Oreochromis niloticus: one gene and its partner. The protein of the gene in region 2 interacts with the protein of the main gene of each other region in a pairwise test. Links are inferred from orthologs where the notes say so. Each region holds a gene or a part of one and is shown on either strand. Other genes may lie near its edges. The genes, in order: ndor1 and tchp.

Evidence for each region.
Region 1: the proteins of tchp (region 2) and ndor1 interact in binary tests that used the Homo sapiens proteins (3 or more experiments, as listed by UniProt). The two-hybrid records come from large-scale screens. The link is inferred for Oreochromis niloticus from reciprocal best matches to the Homo sapiens genes TCHP and NDOR1.

What each region holds. Positions count from the first base shown.
Region 1 is NC_031972.2:34,629,714-34,633,637, reverse strand, and holds the start of ndor1 (NADPH-dependent diflavin oxidoreductase 1), read left to right. Parts: upstream 1-998; 5' UTR 999-1,155; intron 1,156-2,163; exon of another isoform or gene 2,164-2,166; 5' UTR 2,167-2,168; coding exon 2,169-2,303; intron 2,304-2,493; coding exon 2,494-2,571; intron 2,572-3,158; coding exon 3,159-3,256; intron 3,257-3,350; coding exon 3,351-3,449; intron 3,450-3,526; coding exon 3,527-3,628; intron 3,629-3,708; coding exon 3,709-3,912; intron 3,913-3,924. UniProt on the Homo sapiens protein: NADPH-dependent reductase which is a central component of the cytosolic iron-sulfur (Fe-S) protein assembly (CIA) machinery.
Region 2 is NC_031977.2:18,102,550-18,106,473, reverse strand, and holds the start of tchp (trichoplein keratin filament-binding protein), read right to left. Parts: upstream 2,351-3,924; 5' UTR 2,216-2,350; exon of another isoform or gene 2,149-2,215; intron 1,517-2,148; exon of another isoform or gene 1,370-1,516; intron 1,005-1,369; 5' UTR 1,001-1,004; coding exon 810-1,000; intron 1-809. Other genes in the region: gltpa (glycolipid transfer protein), read left to right, coding at 2,848-2,950. UniProt on the Homo sapiens protein: Tumor suppressor which has the ability to inhibit cell growth and be pro-apoptotic during cell stress. Inhibits cell growth in bladder and prostate cancer cells by a down-regulation of HSPB1 by inhibiting its phosphorylation.

The DNA of each region.
Region 1 (3,924 bases), on a different chromosome or scaffold from region 2:
CTGATTTAAATGGATAAATTACCTCCTCAACATGTCTTGAAGTTCTCCAGAGGCCTGGTAATGAACTAATCATGTGATTCAGGTGTGTTGACCCAGGGTGAGATCTAAAACCTGCAGGGACACCGGCCCTCGTGGACTGAGATTGGGGACCCCTGGTGTAGAGGTTCAGATTTCATAGTTTGTGGTTGAATTTAATGTGAAATTATATGAAATAACTGTTGATCGGTACCTGACTCTGGTATCTAGGCTGCTGCTGGTGGTGGTGTTGTGCCTGTCAGGTGATTCCCTGATGTGGATGAAGCTTTATGTGCGTAGCTTTAAGTGTTATGACAGTAATGTTAGAATTCACTCTGTGAATGGTTCTTCAAGCACCTTCGGTTCTTACCAGAGTTTGCAGATTATGGACTGTTAATATGCAATCCTTGCATCCTAGACTAATTCAGATCCAGAGAAGGCTTTTCTAATCCTGCTCATGTCCTCAGATCTCTGAGTGAACCCTTCTCAAAACAGGCAGCGTGGTGAATAAGACCTCACAGGAGGAAGGTGGTCGCCACTTTCTGTGAACTCAGATGTGAGTTTAATGTGAGCTCAGCTCTATTAAACCAGTGCATGAGGTTTGCAGGAAATCTACTTGACCACGAGGTGGAGACAAACACAGAGCAGTCACTGTTTGTCTGCAGATGTTTTGATATTTGACATAAGACAACATTAAGCACTGTAGGCTAATATAATTTTTAAATGAGACATAATGAAGCTACATAGTGGATAAATCAGGAAATTCAATAAAAAAATATGCTTATTTCAGATGTTTTAGGCTCAAATTTAAGACAAATCAATAAAAATAAGTCACTCTGTTGCTGTTATTAATTAATACTTAAAGGAAAAGTATGTCTTCATCAAGAATTATGTTTTTAAAAAAGAAAATAATAAAGAATAAACAGCAGAAGTTGATAGTGAAAGAATTTTTACGTAAACTTTGTTATTTCTGATTTTCCTCCGGGGCTCTGAACGCAGCGTCGACCTGTGAGCCAATCACAGCGTGCCTGCCGTAAAGTGTGGCGTTGAGGGTCAGCATGACCAGTTACGGCCCGGCTTCTTAGTTTATTTGGTTCATTTGTATAAGTTTCTAGGTAATTGTCGACGAAGACAGCGACGGTGAGTCGATTTGTTTGTTTGCTTGCTTGTGGTCATAAATGTGATTTATAGACGAAAAAAAAAAAATAAGTAAAATAACGGATCAGATTTTTATCAGTCGGTTAACTAGTATTCTAGCACGTTAGCTAGCAGCTCAGTTATGTAGTCCTGAGTGAAGGTGAACGCCTGGTAGTTTACCTGTTTAATTGTTATATTTTATTTATTTCATTATATCTACTGTAAAAGTAACCGAGATACCTGCTGGTCACGGAAAATGGTTTATTGTGACCCAAACAAAGAGATTTATGCTCGGAACATATTTCTGAGTGAAAAATTAAAGTATTGCTAATCAATGTGTTCAGAGCCAACGTTTCCTGTTTGTCAGCATGTATCATCACACAGACATGTGTACATGTGCAAAGACAGTCTCATGCTTATAAGGATGAAAGTCAGATGATTAGAATTAAAGTCACGTTGTCGTTTGTATTGTTTAATTGATTGTTTTTACTATAAACTAACAGCAGAGCTCCGCTTCACGTTTCTTTGTTTCGAGTCTTCTCTTTATGAGCACGGTTTTCGTCTAGTATCTATTATAGAATAGAATAAAACTTTATTCTTCGCTAGAATCGAGCATCATCTTTGTTTCACCAAAACATTTATTCAGAACTTCATCTGTTTACATGTACACAGCAGGCAGCTGAACAAATGCAGCTTCCTGTCCATTAAACTCTGGGTTATTAACCTTGACGGTGAACTTAAACTTAAACTGTCACATTTGGGAACTTCACCACTGCCTGCGTCACCCAAGGAAAACTGAACCTGAGGCTCCATCTGGGGCCAGTTAAGAGAAAAATAAGTGGCTGTGTCACATGAGCCAGGGGCGAGTGTACCAGGGTCTAACTCCTGTGGTGGGACTGCATCCTGAGTGGACCAGAGAGAATCGAACTCTTTGCTCCATGTTTAATTTAGGCCCCATAGGCTTTTTTGTATCCAAAACATGATGAGTCTCTGTTCTCGTGTTTCTGTCAGCAGTCATGTCAAATCCCGCCCTGCTCATTCTGTACGGGAGTCAGACAGGGACGGCTCAGGACACGGCACAGAGGCTCGCCCGGCAGGCGCAGAGACGGCGGCTGCGGGTCCGTGTGATGCCGCTGGACGACTACAACGTGGTGAGTGAGACGAAGTTTTTCAAACGTAAGGGGGAGTGTTAAAGTTTTCAGAGCTGTGACTCGATAAATGTGGAATAACTGTGGGGTCACAGTTGGTGTTTCACATGTTTATACCCAACTTTAGTCCCAGAGGTGCTCCTGAGTACTCCTCCTCAACCTCACAGCGTGTCTTTTTCCTCCCATCAAACAGGCCGACTTGATCTCCGAGTCTCTGGTCGTCTTTGTTTGCTCCACTACTGGTCAGGGAGACCCTCCCGACAACATGAAGGTAAGAAAAATGAAAACTGGAAGAGTGAAAGGTGACCTTCCAAAAAAGAAATGTCATTATTTTTAAGCACAATTATCTTTTTACTTCCAGTCTTTCCAGTTTGAAATTAAACAAGAGTTTTCTTTTTTTAAAGTTTAGAGTGTTTCCCCTCTTCTTCCTGCTAAATGTAGGGATCTTTAAGGTCTGTCCATAAGGTTTTTGAGTCAGTCAGTCATGGCCAAAGCTTCAGAATGAATCAGATTCTAATCCTCATATTAGAATCAGATCAGATTCACGTGAAACACATGAAACACATTCTCACGTGAGAGAGACATTAAAGCTTTTTTAAAACTGTTGTACACTATCAGTAGCATCAGTATTGTCGGACATAACAGGTAGATTTCTCCTGGACTTATGAATATGAAGGTAAAGTGTTGTATGGCTCCATTAAATGTAGTAAAGTTATATTAAACAAAGAAGCTAATTCTGAGGGTCAGTGAGAACCTCCGTGGTTTTTCTGAAGAAGGATAAAATATTTCATGCACAGCCAATTATATTTTGAAAACCTTTACCTCTGTCTGAGACATCCATGTGTTCTTTGTTTTAAGAATTTCTGGCGGTTCCTCTTTAAGAAGTCTCTACCTGTCGGGTCTCTGAGTCGGCTCGACTGCGCCATCCTGGGCCTGGGAGACTCCTCGTATCCAAAGTCAGTCCAGGGTTTATGCTCGCTGTTCTCACCATTAGTCTACAGTGACTCATCTGGTTTTTGTTAAAGCGTGTGCATGTTGTGTGCACCACAGGTTCAACTTTGTGGCCAAGAAGCTCCATAAGCGCCTCCTGCAGCTCGGTGCCTGCGTGCTGCTGCCTGTGGGGCTGGCTGATGACCAGCACGACCTCGGGTAAGAGACACGTGTAAACATGAAGATGGTGGAGAGTTTGTTGCTCGTGTACTGAGCTGACGGTGTGTTTGACGCAGAGCGGACGCTGTGATCGACCCCTGGTTTGCTTCGTTTTGGGGGAAAGTGTCGACCCTTTACCCGACTCTGTCCGGCGTGATCCCGCTGAGGGAAGACGAGCCGTGAGTATCCGCTCCACGTGTCCCTCTCTCAGAAGGCGTACATTTAATATATAGGTTTGTTCTGTGTTTGTTTGCAACAGACTTCCTCCAACCTACACGTTCCACTTCCTGGACGACATGCAAGAGAAGGAGGAGGTCCGGCTGAGGATTCCCATGGATCAAACTGTCCCCTCCCAGTCTCACCCGTTTCCTGCCAGAATGGTGTTCAACAGGAGAGTGACGGAGCCGTTGCACTTCCAGGACGTCAGGCACATTGAGTTAGACGTCACTGGGTCCAACATTGAGTACGTAACCCT
Region 2 (3,924 bases):
TTTATGGTATTTCCAGGATGATCCTGGCTTCACAAGATTGGATTCCTGTAGGTTTTAGATTTTAAATTTTCCTGATCACCTTTAAAGTGTTGCGGTCTGGCCGTGAGTCTGCTCCCAGACTGAGATGAGTCCATTCCGGCTGTTGTAAAATCGAGACTTCAACATAAAGGTTAGCCTAGTTTTGCCATAGGCTACTCGAAATCTTTGATTCACTTCTGAAAACTATTTTTTAAGGATGTGCTTTTAGGTGATTCTACTGCATCTGATGTAATAAGAAGACCTTTTTTTCTGGTCATCATCCCTTAGTTGTCTTGCTTATGTTCTGGCTCCAGTCTTTCATTTATACATGATGACAATATAGATAATATAATATTATAGTAACTATCTGGTTAGCATTCCATTCAGATCCAATCATAAAATGTGCTTGGCCATACCTATGGTGTCCCCTCATGGGAAAAATACTCTCTTCATGCTTTCTATTAGACTCTGTGTGTTACCTAAATGAATAATAAAAAAGGTAGGGAGTAGTGTCAAGTACTATCACTTTTTTCACAACACAGAACTTATATATGACATGACGTGATTACTTACAGAGCCATCTCTGAGGGCAATAAAGGAGAAACAGGATGATAATGCTGGAGTACGTTATGGCAATCATGTAAAATTAATGACAAGAAAATGTAAGGAGGCAACAAAAATAAAATCACTAAATATAAAGCAATGTGTAGTTATTTAGTTGGATTGCTTCAATATTTGTGTAACGTTTCGGAGACCGTGTGAGTGAGAGCATCTATGCTGGAGGAAGTTACCTCTGCTGGTAGGATTGACGGGAGCTCCACACCGTCTGTTTCTGGCTGCGGATGCTCTGCTCTCTGAAGTACTGAGCATGCAGCTCCCACTGCTGCCGCCACCGGGCCTCCTGCTCCCGCTGCCGGGCCAGCTGGTCGGCCAGGACCCGAGATCGACTGGGCACACGGGTCGAAAGTGTCGGCAGAGCCATGAACCTGAACAGTTAACACAAATGAAAGCTTGATATTAAATTTGTTAAAAATAACAGTGCAGACATAGTTTCATTAGGGCATGTAGCCAGTCAATATGGACGAATGTAGACATCACAAGTCAAAGGTCTCTTAGCCCCATCATATATTCACTGATACTGCTTTTTAAAGTAATTAGTTACTTAACAAATATTGATGCCGAAGACAGCTCAATATCTTCATTGTTATACGTGCTCTACCCATAAAACATTTATAATTTCATGGCCGTAAAGAATAAAGAAAACAATAAGAACAAAAGACTACCAGCTCTAACTACCCATCAGCACTCGGATAAAAGGAGCGTTTAGCTACAACGATAGCAGCCACTTTACCTCTCGGTGGTACCTCGGTTTGCCTCCCCTTGGCTTTTAATTAAAAAAACAATCGACGTTTTGCTTTCACGCACAGAAAGCTTAAATTTACTCACTTCAATACTACAGCTTTCCTTAGTTACCGATACATACACTTCCTAGTTACTCACACGCTACGGGATGAAGTGAAGGTCAAATTTAGTTTGTGGCGGAAAACGCGAAAGGCATAGTTGGAAGTTTGTTTCCGCCACTGAATTTTCTTTGTCTTTGTCGTCATTAAGTCATGATTTTATGTGATTATCTCTTGGGTCAGTGTGTTGAAATGTTGTAACTTTCCTTTAAATTTTCAGTTAGATATGTCGAAATTTCGACACATCTATCTGATACTACCACTACTATTACTACTACTGATATTAATAATATTAATATTAATTAGAACTTATATGAAACTAATAATTAACAATAAGAACGAGCAAACCTACTCTGTAAACTAAACTACATTTAACACAAAATGTTTAAACTAAAAATTACTAAAATGAAATAAACTAAGTAAAATCCAAAACTGTTAAGTTCATGTGTGATACTATTTTGTCTGTCTTTTACAGTAAGATATTACATAGCTATTATATGCTTGCACGAATGCTGGGATAACTATAACTAACGAAATAATACAAAACAGATAAACAGATAAATTAGGTGGAACCAAAGAGCGATATTCCACCAGACTCCGTTAGTTGGCAGCAAAGGAGCATATGTGATTAAACGCAGAGGAAGACCAGTGTCAGCTGATGGAGCACATCAGGTGCTGTTTACTCTGGACTTGTTTCTTCTGTCTGGCAGAAGTGTGCCGTTTATCCGGCCTCTTACCCCGGCAGGTGGCGATGGCCCGGATCTATCACTAACAGGTCGATCACATGAGCTCCTCTGCAGCCAGGAGTTCAGTGTAGGTGACTTCCATGTGAGTGTGTGTGTGTGTGTGTGTGTGTGTGTGTGTGTGTGTGTGTGTGTGTGTGTGTAAGAGAGAGAGGGAGAGGCTTCTCTGTGTGTGAGAGAGATATTTCTGTGTGTGTGTGTGTGTGTGTGTGTGTGTGTGTGTAAGAGAGAGAGAGGGAGAGGCTTCTCTGTGTGTGAGAGAGATATTTCTGTGTGTGTGTGTGTGTGTGTGTGTGTGTGTGTGTGTGTAAGAGAGAGAGAAGGAGAGGCTTCTCTGTGTGTGAGAGAGATATTTCTGTGTGTGTGTGTGTGTGAGAGAGAGAGAGAGAGAGAGAGAGAGAGAGAGGGAGAAAGATGTTTCTCTTTCTCGCTCACTCTGTGTATGTGTGTGTGTGTGTGTGTGTGTGAGAGAGAGAGAGATGTTTCTCTCTCTCTCTCTCTCTCTCTCTCTCACTCTCTCTCTGTGTGTGTGTGTTCTCCTCCTCCTATCACTGTGAAGCTGCAGTGGAGGACTGACAGCCTGTTGCTATCATTTCAACAGTTAGGAGTGTATCCGGACTAAAGAGATGGCTCTGCTAATGGAGCACCAGTTCAGACAGCTGCCAGCTGACAGACAGGTGGAAACAAGACCGTTTCTGGAAGCTGTGTCATACCTTCCACCATTCTTTGGTAAGTGGAGTTTCCACAGTGTGACACAGGGGAGACTGCGTTAATGGGACTGCAAATGAAGTGGTGAATTTTAAAAAATAGATGACAACAGGGAAAATGTATAGTTGTGGTGGTTTTTATGATTAACCTCAGGCTTCCAGATTAATGCCACTGACTGATCATGCTTTATACGTCCACGACTGTTAAACTGGTCCAGTAGGTACAAAAATGTGCAGTTTACGTTAAAATTACCACCCATGCAATGGACATTTTTTTCCACTGTGGTGAATCTTTATTTGGAATTTGTCTGATTATTAAACACTGAACTTGTAGTGATGATAAATCTGTCACAACACTTCCATCTCGTTTAACAAAACGATGTTGCTCTTCCTAATGATAATCTTTTCTGGATCGTGTTTCTCTCCACCAACCTGTCCACAATCCTTTAGCATGCATAATTTACTCCACTGGCCTGGATTTTAAGTTGTGAAAATTGATTAGTACGGTGTTGAGTTCCCCTTGCCCATTCACCGGTGCCGCGGTGCGCCAGGGCATCTTTGTGCGGCTTCATTCTCTATTAATATGCCAAAGTCCCTCCATTGAATTTGCCACGTGAAACCCTTGAGATGAACCAAGTCTGATGTCGATATTAAGCTCTTTCCTCCTTGTCACCATTATTCTTCCTGACCCAGAAATTTTTGAGCCAACTTTCCTACAGGCCATTACCATCCCGCACACTCATAGTACATTCACACAGGTGTCTGAAACTCTCTTGCCTAATTAGTGCCCTAATAGACTTCACTCCACTGGCACGTTCACTCTCCTGTTAGTCTCGTTTCACCACACCAGTGTATTTTATTTTTATTTATATCTAAATAGAGACTTGCTATTTAACCTGTAGTAGTAAAAGTTAGTAGTAAAATGTCATCATGGCTTTGCCTCAAATCATTCTGATTCAATTCAATTAGTAAGTTTTACTTTATGTGTGTTATTAG